2 linked regions of the Callithrix jacchus genome follow. The protein of the gene in region 2 interacts with the protein of the main gene of each other region in a biochemical or structural test. Links are inferred from orthologs where the notes say so. Each region holds a gene or a part of one and is shown on either strand. Other genes may lie near its edges.

The links. The genes of interacting proteins can lie anywhere in the genome.
Region 1: the proteins of DLG4 (region 2) and PKP4 interact in a test that uses a peptide from one of them, tested with the Homo sapiens proteins (2 studies listed by IntAct, with this or other methods). The link is inferred for Callithrix jacchus from reciprocal best matches to the Homo sapiens genes DLG4 and PKP4.

Annotation. Positions count from the first base shown.
Region 1 is NC_133507.1:71,434,588-71,442,276, reverse strand, and holds the start of PKP4 (plakophilin-4), read left to right. Parts: upstream 1-2,783; 5' UTR 2,784-3,104; intron 3,105-3,583; exon of another isoform or gene 3,584-3,720; intron 3,721-3,774; exon of another isoform or gene 3,775-4,183; intron 4,184-7,689. Other genes in the region: CCDC148 (coiled-coil domain-containing protein 148), read right to left, coding at 2,300-2,314, 2,599-2,629. UniProt on the Homo sapiens protein: Plays a role as a regulator of Rho activity during cytokinesis. May play a role in junctional plaques.
Region 2 is NC_133506.1:73,690,654-73,697,856, reverse strand, and holds part of DLG4 (disks large homolog 4), read left to right. Parts: intron 1-1,463; exon of another isoform or gene 1,464-1,838; coding exon of another isoform or gene 1,839-1,850; intron 1,851-2,345; coding exon 2,346-2,399; exon of another isoform or gene 2,400-2,400; intron 2,401-2,531; exon of another isoform or gene 2,532-2,533; coding exon 2,534-2,590; intron 2,591-2,796; coding exon 2,797-2,921; intron 2,922-3,016; coding exon 3,017-3,186; intron 3,187-3,288; coding exon 3,289-3,425; intron 3,426-3,571; coding exon 3,572-3,716; intron 3,717-7,203. UniProt on the Homo sapiens protein: Postsynaptic scaffolding protein that plays a critical role in synaptogenesis and synaptic plasticity by providing a platform for the postsynaptic clustering of crucial synaptic proteins.

The sequences.
Region 1 (7,689 bases), on a different chromosome or scaffold from region 2:
TGAGGAGAAAGAGCAAAATCATCAAGATCATTTCAGTTGTATTCAAGAGCCAAAACATTGGTGAAAAAGTAGAAACGTCAAGAAATTCCCTTCAGACAGTTTATTGGTGAAAAGAAAGGCAAGAAGATGGAGATTGTGGTAGGGTAGAAGGAAGGTGGTTTTGCCAAAGGCCAGATATTTGGAAGGTTTAGGAAAAATCATCAGAGGTGAGGGTATAACACATCGTCTAAGAAAGAAATTATAATTACTAGAGCAAAATCCTGGTAGAGAGAAGATGGTTCATGTTTAGGAGCATATGTGGAGTATGAGCTTTGAAGAGAAATGTGGATACCCCTACTCAACCAGGACTGAAAGAGGTGAAGATGTATAAAAACTGAGACTGAGGTTTAGGAAAGTTAAGTTGAGGAACCTCATGGTGGATCCTTCATTAGAGTATGAGGCAAGATCATTTTGCAGAAGTGGAGGAAAACCACATAAAGTGGGGGCTTGAGGAGATCAGACATAGGACACGTTTGGAAGTGGCCCAGATAATGTTCCCGGATAAGTGTTCTGGATAATCATCCTCCTGATGAGGAAAGGAATTGAGAATCAGTGAAGACCAGCCAAGTTTGAATAGCATGAACTTTAAGAGGAATGAAGTGATCATTTAACCTTATCTAGCAATGCTTAGTAGTGCAGGAGCAAGTTGAAAAGAAAGCTTTCAACTAAATACAAAAATAAAGAAAATAATTAATGTTGAGTGACAACTTATTTCAGAGGACATATTCATGGTGGATTTTTAGTAACAATTTAATTATGACAAACATGAAATCTACAATGTCAAAATAATCATCTGAGAAAAACATACAAAAGACTATTGGAGTAATAATAAAATGAGCTTTTTTCTCCTTCTTTCTATGCTAGCCTAAGGCAAGAAAAAAGAAAAGACCCATTTTTCTTTCCATTAGACACATTTTCCATTCATTCGATGTGACTGAAATTTTTAAAAAAGCAAAATCATTGGTATCTTATTATTAAACATATGTCATATAACAATTTGCATTTTACTTTTTCTGTTCTATAAACAAACTCACATATTAAAAAGCCAGAAGAAGTCAAAAACAGCCTATTTTCATATAGCCAGGCATGACACAACACTTCCTGGCCTCTGCTGATCCCTTCCCAATTCTGAAAATATTTAGAGGGAACATTCACATGTTCACCTGTTTTGTTCCACAGTCCAACTCTGAGTAGGATTGTCAACTAAGTTGAAATTTTACCACAAATGTGGAGAGATTTTTTTTTTCCAATCAAGGCACCATATTAACATTTCTTAGGTTACATCTTTATAATCTTCAATTACAGTAAGATAAAAACCAGTAGCAAAGCATATCACCCAACTTAAAATTCAGAAGAATACTTAGACATATGCAACTTGCACACACATTAATCTGTTTCTCTCAACAAATTATTTGTAATTTTCAAAATCCTATCAGCTTTTTCACACAACATGGTCCCTCCAATGTGAGGTGCAGTAATATGTACATAGTCTCCTTACTAAAAAGATTAGTTGAAAAATAGTAAAATGACCAAAAAAAGGAACATAAGAATATCGGTGGTTATAGGCTAGAGCAATATCATATTTTAAAGCCTAATATGTTCATGAAATTTCACTTTAAGAAGGTGGTATCTAAATATAAAATTTATTGACAAAAAATTAGTATTGACAAACTAGCACAAGATTATTTTAAATGAAAGTAGAAGACATTATTAAAGCTCAAGATTTTTGTGTGTACTGATTTTCATGCCTCAGGTGATTTCTATATCAAATTTAAAGAGAACTGGAAAATAGAAAACAAAATCCATCAACTGTAATCCATTTCTCTTACTCTTTCGTGAAATCATCAGAAGGCATAAAGGATTGTTTCTGTTTCCTGTCTCTTTATCAAGCCTGTAACCCCTCAAGTGAAAGAACATGCACCTGTCAAGCTCGTAGTGCAGGATGTACACACAGATGTGTTTAATAGATATCTGCCCACGGGAAGATTAGAGGTTTGCTTTGAGAATCAGGGAACAGGCTATCTTATGTGGTGACGCTTTGGCATCTATCATACAATCCGTCACCTTCTCCCTTACCAAAATATCATCAAAGGAAATCCTCTTTGAGTCTTCTTTGAGAAGGGATATGAGTTTGAAGACCCAAAACGTTGAAACAAGACAGGAAAGGGGGAGTGGTTGCGGAGAACAAGCCCAAGTAGGATTCAAGTGGCTCAGTGACGTCAGGAGGAAGGAGCGATGGAAGGGATGGGGTGCAACTCACCTAGAGAAGCAGCAGCTGCACAAACGTCAAAGGTCAGAGCCTAGCCTCAGGGGCTCCCCAAACGCAGGAAAAGTGAAACGCCCACTCCTGGCTCTCACTGTCAGGGGTACGTCTAAGGGCTCAGCTGTTCCTACCTTTGATGCCAGGGACAAACCCTTCCAGGCACAGTTGGGGCTGGCAGGAAGGCAAAGTGAAACCTGCCCCAGATTTCAGAGCCAGCACTGGGGAATCTCCCTGTCCTCCTCTCCGCCACCCCCTCCCGCGCCCGCGACTTGAGACACCCTCATCCTCACACCCACCTTCTCCAGGCCCTCTCGCGCTGAACAGCATCGGTCTCTATGGCGACCTGAAACCGCAGCTCCTATTGGTCCGTTCAATATGAGGGCCGGGCCAATGGGGAGGACCAGCCCTCTCCTTCTGGCCAATGGGGTAGCGGAAGCAGGCCCGGGGACGGCGGCGTGCTGACGTTCCCGGGAGCCCGGGTCTGGCCGGGCGGGCTGGCGGCGGGGCGGGCGGCGGTGGCGGCGGCCTCTGGGCAGTAGAGGGGGCTCCGGGACTGAGTCCGCGTCGACGCCGGCCGCGGAGGCGGCACCATGGGCAAAGGGTAGAGGGGCAAGTTGGCCACCGCCGCCGCCGGGGGTGGTGGGATAGCCGCTCCGGGGGAGGGGGCGGGTGGGGGAGGGAGGGGCGGGCAGCCGCGCGGCCGCGGCACTTTTTTAATTTTTTTCGGGTGCCGCAGCGGCGACCCCTCGGCGCCGATGTCTGTGATTCCTGGAGCGACGACGGCCGCTGCCTAAGCTGGAAAGTAAGTGTGTGGGCTCGCGGGAGGGCGCGGAGACCCCTGCCGTTGAGACCCTCGGCCCTGCCGAACATGCGCCGGGGCCGGGACCTGCGCGCCGGAGGCCGGCGCCTCCCTCCCGCTGCCCCGTCCCCAGCGCCTCGGCGGCTTTCCTGCCCCGCCTCGTGTTCCTGCCCGCACTCGCCTGCTGCTCCCCTCCCCCCGGCAGGCACACAAGTTTCACCCTCCATTTGCTTTTTCCGGCGATTCCTCTCCTCGATCTCCCTTACGAGCCGCGCAGGACCCCTCTCCACGCTGGGCTCTACGGATTTGGAGCCCCCAGCCCCGAACTTGAGCTCCGCGCGGAGCCCTGCTGGACGCCCTCGCGGCGGCTTCCCCGCTGCCGCCCGCCCGGCGTGCCGCCCTGCGCCCCCGACACCCCGGGGCGCCCGCCCTCCCCAGCCCTCGAGACCAGCGGTCTGTCCTTCCAGCCCCAGATCCTGTACCTTGGCCCCTTTCCCGCCTTTCCACGCCCATGCTGCCGGCGCGCTCTTGCGTTTGCCCCCGAAGTCCTGCACTCCTAGTCGGTCCTGCCCACCCCCTCTGCCCAGTGCGTCCCTCTCTGCTGGCCGCCGATTTTCACGCTCCACCCCTCTCGGATCCCCAGCCCCTAGCCTCGCCGCTGCCCTCCTGCGCCGCCTCTTCCTCCTCTCCCTGCCAGGAGTTGAAGCGGAGCCGGGGCACCCCCCTGGTGGATTGGTATCCCCGCCCGCCTCCGAGGCAGCCGGCCCTCTCCCCTGGACCGCTACCCGGAGAGCGAGCGGCGGGGCCGGGATTTGGCTGCGTATTGGCTGAGTGCGACAAACCGCGAGCGCAGGCAGTGGAGGCGCCGCGGCGGCTGTGGCCGCTCGGGGCGCAGCGGTAGTCAGGTGTGTGTGTACAGCGGGGGACGCGCGCTGCCGGCTCCTGGGCTGGCGACAGATTGTGCAGGAATGCGAGGAATGCACCAGGGGCTGAGTCCACACGGCCCTCCGCGGCTACACTAGCGCCTTTCCTCCCCAGCTCTCGCCGCGCAGCCAGAGGTCACCGGAGCATCTTCAGAGCTGGTGAGCCTCATTCCACTCTTCTCCTCCCATTGCTTCCCTCCTTGCGGCAGAGAGGGTGGCGGAGGGAAAGCACGGTAGTTCTTTTGGGCTCCAGCTAGCCTTTCGTCTGGGTTTTTGCTGCATTGGTCTTCAGGACCGTGAATTTGGGGCCGATGACTGTGTAGCCAAGGTTATTGATCATTGCACAGCCTGTTTGCAAGTTTGGTGTGCAAGGATTAGATAGTGCCTGGTTTTTACTAGGGTTTTCTGAAAACCAGCAGGAATAGGGGGCCTGAAGGTTCTTGAGAGTAATGAGCTTGCAGCCAACATATTTTAGCTATACCAGAAAATGACTGTGCTAATGGATGGCCATGTACTGCAAGAAAGATCTTGAATGCATCACTTCGGTGTCCTAAGAAGTGTAATTTTTTTTCCTTGTCATACTGGGCTGTTTAGACCTCGTATAATACATAATGAATAGAAACAGAGAAGCAGTGTTTGGTCAGCGATGGGACAGATAGAACTGTCTGGTACAGTTAAATTCGGGGTGTGTCAGTTACCATTGAAAGTAACACGGGAACACCACAATCATGTGTATTTCAAGATGTAATTTATGAGTGGAGGTTTTAGTTCTCTTTGTTACTGAGTTTGACTAAAAGAAATGCTGCCCTACAACTTTTAAAGAATAGTAATTATTTACGTGTAAAATCGATGATGGTTAGTATGCATTTTGGTCAAATTTTGTTTTTCTCAATACAGGAAAGGAAATTTTTGACAGAAAATGGTTCGCTAGAATTGAGCTTAGATTCTTTTTATTTTAAAAGAGAAAGTAGAAGAATGCTTCCCTTCTTGAATGCAGTATATTGCTGTAGGAGTATCTTCGTTTTGATGTCTGTGAAACAGTTATGGAAAATGGCAACATGAGAATGAGAACAACTAATGTCTGAAATAAGTGTTTCTGGGTGTTGAAAAGCATCCTATGTGTGTTTTTATTTGATACAATTTGCTTTGGAGGTTGCATTTATGATAAATCTCTTTGCACCTGGTTATTTTGTAGCAGTTTCGGTAAAATAAGTCAGTTGTATGACCAATCAGCTGTCTTCCAACACCTACTTTGTCTAGATCAAGGACATTGAAAAGTATTAAATAGGAGCCTTTAGTTAAGGACTCAACAGAAAGGAAAAAATAGAAAAAAAAAAAATACTTTGCACTCTGAAAGGTTTATCTTTTGATTGCTACGTTGTTTTTCAGCTATGTGCATAATCAGTGAATCTTCTAATTAGAGGTTTAATTTGTGTCCACTAGCATGTGGAGGATATTGGGAGGTGTTTGTAAATGCCAACAGGAAACTTTTATTATGTAACAATATCATATTACAGCAGAGTTTAACCCATGCTTAACCTGTGCTTATTTGACTTGATGTCAAGATTAGGAAGTATAAGCAAATTCAGTTTCTCTGCCTCATTAGAAACCGAAAACTCTGTTCAGATATATAGATCTCACACACACACACACACACACACACACACACGATTGGCTGTGCAAATAGTTTTGCCTGCTTCAGGTAAAGGTAAGCTTTCAGTTAGAAATGCTTTCTATTTGTTATAGGTATACGAAGAGAGGAAGTTTTTCAACTGGTGATCCTTCACAATTGAAAATAACCAAAATTGTATTTTGACCAAAGTGCATTCCCTCCCCACCCCCTACTATTATGTAAGGAGAGGGTGCTGCATCTGGTGTCTTATATATTATACTGAAGAGTCTAATTTGGGGAAGCTAATTTTCCAATTATTTTAATTTTTGGTTATATTGTTTTTGGAGGGAGATAAGGGAACGGAGAGCATTGATGGAAAACAAGGGAAGAAGAAACTAGGGGTAGCTAGTATGCAACTAGAAAATAAAATTATATACATTATTGCAGCAATAATGCATTTATAAGCTAAAAAAATCAAATCTAATTTTGTGACTAGTTCTGACATAATATTAATTGAAGGAAAGTATTACCAAATTCAGTTTAATAAAAACTTTAGTACTTGTATGACCTTGAGTATTTGGATTAGGTTTATGTTAAATCAGAATTGCAGTTTTCTTTATTTTCTTGTAGATAGACAAAGCAAATTTAACGTAAAAATTTGACATTCACTTAGATTAATTTAAAAAAATTCAATTATTGACAATTTTTGGCCTAAATTTTTTAAAATTTTGAGTAATTTCCATGCTTTTACCCAGGGATGAATTTAAATGGTATTCATACCCTGGCTGATGCCAACCATCAGGTAAGTCTAGCCTCTTATCTGACTCTTTTGAAATATTAAGGTATTTTGAGAAAGCTTTGTAATCTAATGTGTTTAAAAAAAAATTTTTTTTTCTATTTCAATCAAGCAGTAATTCCCTACCTTGCTTAACTCTAAAATGGACATCCTATCTTCATTCTTAAATGGAAGATAAAGTAGAGGTTACTCTAGGGTTATTTTAGGGCATAAACACCTATGGAATTGTACGTCAGTTTGGGAAGTTTGCCTTCACATCTTAAAGTGTACAGGGAGATAATTACTCCTTCTATGTGTTAAATGATTCTGTAGTGCCCTTCCTGCACTGAAGGGGGAAGACTCTGAAACGTAACACCAGTGGACTAGGTATGTTTGGAGAATTAAGTAACTGTTTCACTGCCAGACAATACTACAGACAGCTGCAAATAGAGAAAAGAAGGAAAACTTTTAAAATACATGGATGTAAGGTTTCATTCTTACATCCATGGAAGTGATGATAGCAGTCAGCAGGTCAGTTTGATGCTCAGTGGTAAGAAATAATAGGGTTATTTCAGGGTAAGATAATCAGGCCCTTAGTAGCCAAGCATGGTAATTGATGTACTTGCTGGTTTCAGTTAAGAAGTTGCACAACATTCAAATATTTCTTACATTGTCACTTTAATAATTCAGTGAAATTATCTTAATTTAGGGTGGGCTGTGTTACCATTACTAAACTGGAAATGTTACATGATGGTGCTCTTCAATTAAACTTGGGACTGTTGCAGACTTTTTTTTTTATCGTTGACCTGTTGTTTTTCCTTTTCATAATTTAGATTTACTTTTATTTTATATACCAATAAATGTTGGCTAAATCACTGATCATTTTATTATTCATAGTCTTGATAACATTATAGTTAATTATGACTCACATATATGATTCATTGCAGCTGATAAAATATTAGGGATTGGATTGTGAGATTTTATTACTACTAAATATATAAATTAAAATATGGAAGTGTGAATTACTGTAAGTCACATGATCGCAAAACATTTGTCATGAACGGAATAATGCCTGGTGATTGGGTGGGTGCCAGTCCAGGTAGCTAGATACGGAATGATACAGTCCTCACAAAATCCAGAACTCAAATGTAGGGTAGGGAGGGAGGGGGCCAGAGGAAACACCTTTCTTTGACATCTGAGGCGTGTTTGACTTCCATAGTTTCCTCTCTATTAAATATAAATTTGGTGAGTTGCAACTGTTCAGTGGTGTTAGTACTA
Region 2 (7,203 bases):
GAGAACTGGCAAGAGAGGAGTTGGGGGATAGGAAGGGTAAGAGGTCCTGGGGCAGGGGCCAGATAGAGATAAGACTGTGAGATCAGGGCAGTGAATTGGAGCTGACAGAGCTAGGAAAGGAAGGCCCTGGAGACAGGGATGGTACAGAGTGTTTGTGCGAATTCTGTGGTGGCTAGGAGTGAGGGAAGGAAGACTAGAGATGCTCTTTTGCAAGGTAGGGCCATTAGATTTCTGAGGAGGGGGAAGAGAAGGGTAGGGAGCTGGTGGTAGGAATGGTAGTTAGTACAGAGCTCAGGAGGCAAAAGAGGGTAGAGGGAGAGAATTGCTAGAGGCCATAAGCATGGGGTGGAGGTTCCAGCACAAGGCGGCAGCTGGGGGACAGAAGAAGCCTCAATTTTCAGAAGAGAGAGGGAGTGGATTGAGGAGTGAAAGATTCTCACTTGAGAATAATCTTGATATGAAGGTAGGGTAAAGGAGAATGGTGACAAATTCTCTGGGAAATCAGAAATTGAGATGGAGTAGCTGAGTGAGGTGGCATGTGCCTGTAGCTACTCAGGAGGTCGAGGTAGGAGGATTACTTGAGCCCAGGAGTTCAAGGCATCAGTGAGCTATGATGACACCACTGCACTCCAGCCTGAGTGACACAGCAACACCCTGTCTCGGGGGAAAAAAAGAATTTGGGATGGAGGATGAGGCCACGACATTGGTAAGGGATGGGGCTGGAGGGTGCGATAGGGCCAGGGAAGCGAATGGAGAATAGAGGCTGGGGTTGGAAGATGGGGTTGGATGTTGAAGGGTGAGACAGGGATGTAGATGGAGCATGTGGGATGCGGGCAGAGATAGGGATGGGAAGCAAATGAGTGTCGTAGTGGATGAAGAAGGGTGTGCTGGGAAGGAAGTTCCAGGATAGGGATGGGGATGGGGATTGACAATGGGCTGAACATGTGGATGAGATTTTGGCAGTCAGTGGCTATTGGTTGGGCAACAGCATTTGCTGAGATGTGAAGGGTTAGAGGGCGGTGTTAACAGATTTATGGGTGCGAAATCTGTAATACAGCTTGAAATGGTCGGTAGTTTGTAGGATTGAGAAATAGCAGTAGGAGACGGGAGGGACCCCTTTGGACGGGAAGAGCGGGAAGGAGAGTGCGGAATCCTTGCGGTTGGGCGGCTGCAAACACCTGTTAAAGAAGGAAGTAGGTTGGGGACCCCGGAAGGAGGCTCTTGGCGGCCTCTCCTCATTGCCATAGAGACGTGGCTTCGGTTGCCCAGGCAATTGGGGAAGCCCCTAGGACCAGCCTAAAGCTGGCCCCGCCTGGGAGTCTAGAGACCAGGCAATTGACGTCAGGGACCTGGGCACGCCCCACTTTAACCCTTTCCCCGAAAGAAGTAGGGGGAGGGAGTAGAGGAGGGGTATAGGACCCGGATGTCTTTCTCCACGCCTCCTTCCTGACGTCCTTTGCACTGCATAGGGTGAGGGGCGTGGGGGAGAGAGGAAGGCAGGTTGTTCAGGATGCGCTGCACCCTCAAACCTCTTCAGCCTGGCCTCCTCTCGGCCTGGCTAACGCGGGGCGGGGCCCAGGGCAGGAGAGGCGGGGTTAGCGGATCCCTTCTGCACTCGGGAGCCTGGTCGGCCTCAGGCCACGCCCCACCCCCCTGTTGTCCTGACGACAGGGCCTCCTGGAGGTGGGTCTCCCCGGGTCTTGGCTGGTCCTAGATACCGTTGCTAGGCAACACGGTCCCTAGAGGAAGGGGTGGATTGGACGGCTGGTAGCTGAGACCGAGGGAGGGGCCTGCAGCTGGGGAAACCCCGGATTCCCGAGGCGCAGGGTTTAGGGCAAATGTGTGTGAAGGTGAGGGACAAGTCTAGGGGAGGGTTATGAAGATATTTGGGTAGATATGGAGGGGTTGGGGGGATGGAGCAGGAAGTGGGACCAGGAGCCGGTGGACTTGAGCCCTGGGGTGTCCGTGTGTAGCATATAAGGCATGTGGTGTTACATCCGGTGAGAAGCTCCCTTCCCCCAAGCCTACCCCCCTCTCCCCACTCTGCCATCTGCTGCTCCCCTCTCTGTCTGGCTGTCTCCCTTCCCGCTTTTCTTACACCTCCTTCCACATGCAGGGGGCCTGGGCTGGGCAAAGTTAGAGTGGTGTGTATGTGCATCTGTGGTATGTGTGTGCGCGTGGGCCTGTGTGGTGTGCATTGAGGCTGGGTCCTTGAGCAGCTCTCAGGGTGGGGGAGTGGGCTTGGCTGAGAGGCTAAGGGGTAGCCACGCTGATGGGACCTCCGTTACGGGCTCCCTCTTGAGTCAAGGCTCAGGAGGCTTTTTGTCTCTTATTTCCCCGAACAGGCCAATTCTCCCCCTGTGATTGTCAACACAGATACCCTAGAAGCCCCAGGATATGTGAGTTGTTTAGATTTTGGGGCTGGGACCATGGTAGAAGAAAGGAGGGAGTAAGGGAGGGCAGCAGATGACAGGCAGGTTGTCAGGCGGGAATGTCTGTCTCACTGCTTTTGTGTTTCTATCCCGTGCTGGAGTTGCAGGTGAACGGGACCGAGGGGGAGATGGAATACGAGGAGATCACATTGGAAAGGGTGAGCAGGCTCCTCCATCAGTGGTCCCCTTAGCTCCTGATCTGTACCTTTCTTTATGCCCATGTGGTCTGTATGGTCAGCCCCTCATCCTGTCCCTTCCTGCTCTGGCTGCCACTCTCTACCACTCTCCAAGCCATTTCCCACCCCACTTACCTTGCCAGAATTGGGCAGTGAGGGGAGCTGACCTCTTCCCCTCCTTCATCCAGGGTAACTCAGGTCTGGGCTTCAGCATCGCAGGTGGCACTGACAACCCACACATCGGTGACGATCCGTCCATTTTCATCACCAAGATAATTCCTGGTGGGGCTGCGGCCCAGGATGGCCGCCTCAGGTGGGGAGAGGAGACGGGTTAGGATGCTGGTCCCTTGAGAGGGAGGGCCAGGGCAGCAGGAAGCCCTTGGCTTAGGCCCACCTTGTTGTTCCCAGGGTCAACGACAGCATCCTGTTTGTAAATGAAGTGGACGTGCGTGAGGTGACCCACTCAGCGGCAGTGGAGGCCCTCAAAGAGGCAGGCTCCATCGTTCGCCTCTATGTCATGCGTCGGAAGCCCCCGGCTGAGAAGGTCATGGAGATAAAGCTCATCAAAGGGCCTAAAGGTAGCAACTCATTTTGTTCCCATCCTCATCCCAACTGTCCTGTGCCCCAAAGCCTGCTTCCTGGGCACCTGGGCACCCACCTCTGGCCTCCCCTCCATCCAGGTCTTGGCTTCAGCATCGCAGGGGGCGTAGGGAACCAGCACATCCCAGGAGATAATAGCATCTATGTAACAAAGATCATCGAAGGGGGTGCTGCCCACAAGGATGGGAGGTTGCAGATTGGAGACAAGATCCTGGCGGTGAGGACCCCATCTAGCCCATTTTCTAGCCCAGATCTGGGTCTCACCTACTAGCCCTGGACAGGCCCAAGTTCATCACTTCACCCCAGTCCCTCTGTCTTGGGCCATCTGTGGCTTTGTTTGAACTTTGCTTTCCTTGACTCCAGGTCAACAGTGTGGGGTTGGAGGATGTCATGCATGAAGATGCTGTGGCAGCCCTGAAGAACACGTATGATGTTGTCTACCTAAAGGTGGCCAAGCCCAGCAATGCCTACCTGAGTGACAGCTATGCTCCCCCAGACATCACAACCTGTGAGAGCCCTTCAAATGCCAAAGCTCCCCATGACCCATCCTGTTTAACCCCATGACATGCAGCCCCATGACATCCCTGTAGCTGTCCTTCTTCAGATATTCCCCATGAAATAGCCACAATCGCTGATCCTTGCTGTGGCTGGAGAAGAGATGGAAAAATCAGTTACCATAAGGAACTAGAGAAGATTGTCAACGATCTCTCCCCCAGAAGGCACAAAGCCCAGGTGGTTTGATGACTAATTTTACGAAATTCTCAAAAGATAGATAATTTTTCTGTTCTTTTAGAGTACAGGAAAAGATATAAGATTTCACATTTCATTGTGTAAGGCCAGTTCAAATGGTCACAAAGATAACATAAAATAAGGAGAGTTTTGCTTTTGAATAGAGATGCAAAAGTTTACAACAATATAGTAGCAAACCAAACATGGCAGCATTGTAAGGGAATAACATAGGGTTTGTTTCAGAAAACTAAAGATGGCTCAATATTAAGAAATCTCTTAAATATGATTCATAAAAAGTCAGCCAGGCAGAGTGGCTCATGCCTGTAATCCCAGCACTTTGGGAGGTCAAGGGGGGCGGATCATGAGGTCAGGAGATCAAGACTATCCTGACCAACATGGTGAAACTCTGTCTCTAATATATATATATATTATAAAATTAGTTGGACGTGGTGCATGACTGTAGTCCCAGCTACTTGGAGGTTGAGGCAGGGGAATTGCTTGAACCTGGGAGGCAGAGGTTGCAGTGAACCAAGATTTTGCCACTGTACTCCAATCTGGCAACAGAGGGAGACTCTATCTCAAAAAAAAAAGAAAGAAAGAAAAAAAAAGTTAAGCCGGGCTCAGTGGCTCGAGCCTGTAATCCCAGCACTTTGGGAGGCCGAGGTGGGTGGATCACGAGGTTAAGAGATTGAGACCATCCTGGTCAGCATGGTGAAACCCCGTCTCTAATAAAAATACAAAAAATTAGCTGGGCATGGTGGTGCGTGCCTGTAATCCCAGCTACTCAGGAGGCTGAGGCAGGAGAATTGCCTGAACCCAGGAGGCGGAGGTTGCGATGAGCCGAGATCGCGCCATTGCATTCCAGCCTGGGTAACGAACGAAACTCTGTCTCAAAAAAAAAAAGGAAAAAAAAGTTAAGGGTGGCCAGGTGCGGTGGCTCATGCTTGTAATCCCAGCACTTGGGAGGCCAAAGTGTGAGGATCACTTGAGCCTAGGGGTTTGAGACCAGCCTCGGGAAGATAGTGAGACCCCTGTCTCTACAAAATATAAAAAATTAGCATGTGCCTATAGTCCTTGGTATTTGGGAGGCTAAGGCTAGAGGACCGCTTGAGCCAAGAAGTTGGAAGCTACAGTGAACCAATGATTGTGCCACTGTCCACTAGACTGAGTGACAAGCGAGAGGAGAAAACGATATGACCATCTCAAATAGATGTGAAAAAGCATTTTGTGAAATTCATCATCTCTTCAATTTTTTTTTCTTGTTATTTTTTTTTTTGAGATGGAGTCTAGCTTTGTCACCAGGTTGGAGTGCAGTGGCACAATCTTGGCTCTCTGCAACCTCTGCCTTCTGGGTTCAAGTGATTCTCCTGTCTCAGTCTCCCCAGTAGCTGGGACTACAGGTACATGCTGCCATGCCCAGCTGAGTTTTGTATTTTTAGTAGAGACAGGTTTTCACTGTGTTGGTCAGGATGGTTTCAATCTCCTGACCTTGTGATCCACCCGCCTCGGCCTTCCAAAGTGCTGGGATTACAGGTGTGAGCCACCATGCCCGGCCAATTCACCATTTCTTTTGGATGAAAGATTTTAGTGAACTAGGAACAGAGGAATTTTCCTTAAGATGGTGAAGATTACTTATCAGAAACAATAGCAAACATTTTATAATCATAAAATCCTAGCAGTGTGTCCATTAACTTATTTTTAAATTTTAATTTTAACTTTTTTCTTGAGATGGCGTTTCACTCTTGTTGGCTAGGCTGGAGTGCAGTGCCATGATCTCAGCTCACTGCAAACTCCACTTCCCAGGTTCAAGTGATTCTCCTGCCTCAGCCTCCCGAGTAGCTGGGATTATAGGTGCTACCACGCTGGCTAATTTTTATACCTTTAGTGGAGATGGGGTTTTACCATGTTGGCCAGGTCTTGAACTCCTCTTGACCTCAGGTTATCTGCCTGTCTCAGCCTCCGGAAGTACTGAGATTACAGGTGTGAGCCACCACGCCCAGCCTCCATTAATTTATAAAGAAGACAAGGATGCCTCTTACCACTGCTGTGCTTTAGAGCAAGGTTTGCCTCTTACCAGTGCCGCGCTTCATTGCTTTAGAGCAAGGTTTCTCAATGTTACTCCTGACATTTTTGGAACCAGAATTCATTGTGAGGGGTTGTCCTGTGCTTTGTGGGATATTTAGCAGCATCCTTGGTCTCTGTCTATCAGATGACAATGGTACTCCTCCCCCTCAGTCATAACAATAAAAAATGTTATGACAGAATTGCCCCAGCACAATTATGGTGGTTGAAAATCACTACATTAGAGATATCAGACAGTATAGCAAGAAAAGAATAAACAGTTACATTTGGAAGGGAAGAACAAAAGTTATCTTTATTTGTAAATTATGCTACTTAGAATCTAGATCAAAATCTAAGTCAATTAACTGAGAAACTTAATATGAGAAGTGAAGAATGTGGCTATTTGTTGGCTGGGTGAGGTAGCTTACGCCTGTAATCCTAGCACTTTGAGAGGCCAATGTGGGTGGAACACTTGAGGTCAGGAGTTTGAGAACAGCCTGACCAACATGGAGAAACCCTGTCTCTACTAAAGAAAAAAAAATATTAGCTGGGTGTACATGTAATCCCAGCTAATCCTGAGGCTGAGGTGGGAGAATCACTTGACCCTGGGAAGCAGAGGTTTCAGTGAGCTGAGATAGAGCCACTGCACTCCAGCCTGGGAGACAGAGTGAGATTCCACCTCAAAAAAAAAAAAAAGGAATATGGCTATTTGTAAGATAAATAACAGGAATTAGTAACTTTCCAGCAATAAGAAGATGTAGTGGGTAAAAAGACCCCTTTTGCCATAGGAAAAAATGCTATAAAATTATTAGAAATAGAAACTTGACAAGAAATGTGAGATTCATGTGAAGCTTTACTGAAGGACATAAGAATGGAAGGGTGGAGAGTCACACCGTGTTTCTGGATGCAAAAACTTCATATGCTAAAGATCTCAACCGGCTCCAAATTAATATATACATAACATTCAATCCTAATCTGAATTTTAATGTTTCCCCACTGGGAACTTGGAAGCTTGATACTAAAGTTTAACTGGAAAAATTTGTGTGGGGGAAGAGCTAAGACATTTTGGGAAAGAATAATGAGGTGTGGCAGCCCTTACAAACTATTAAATAATACTGTAAAACCATATTGAAATCACATGGTACTATTCCTAAATACCATAACCTACCAAAAAGAACCTGAGCTCCTTGGAAGAAGGGTCACTT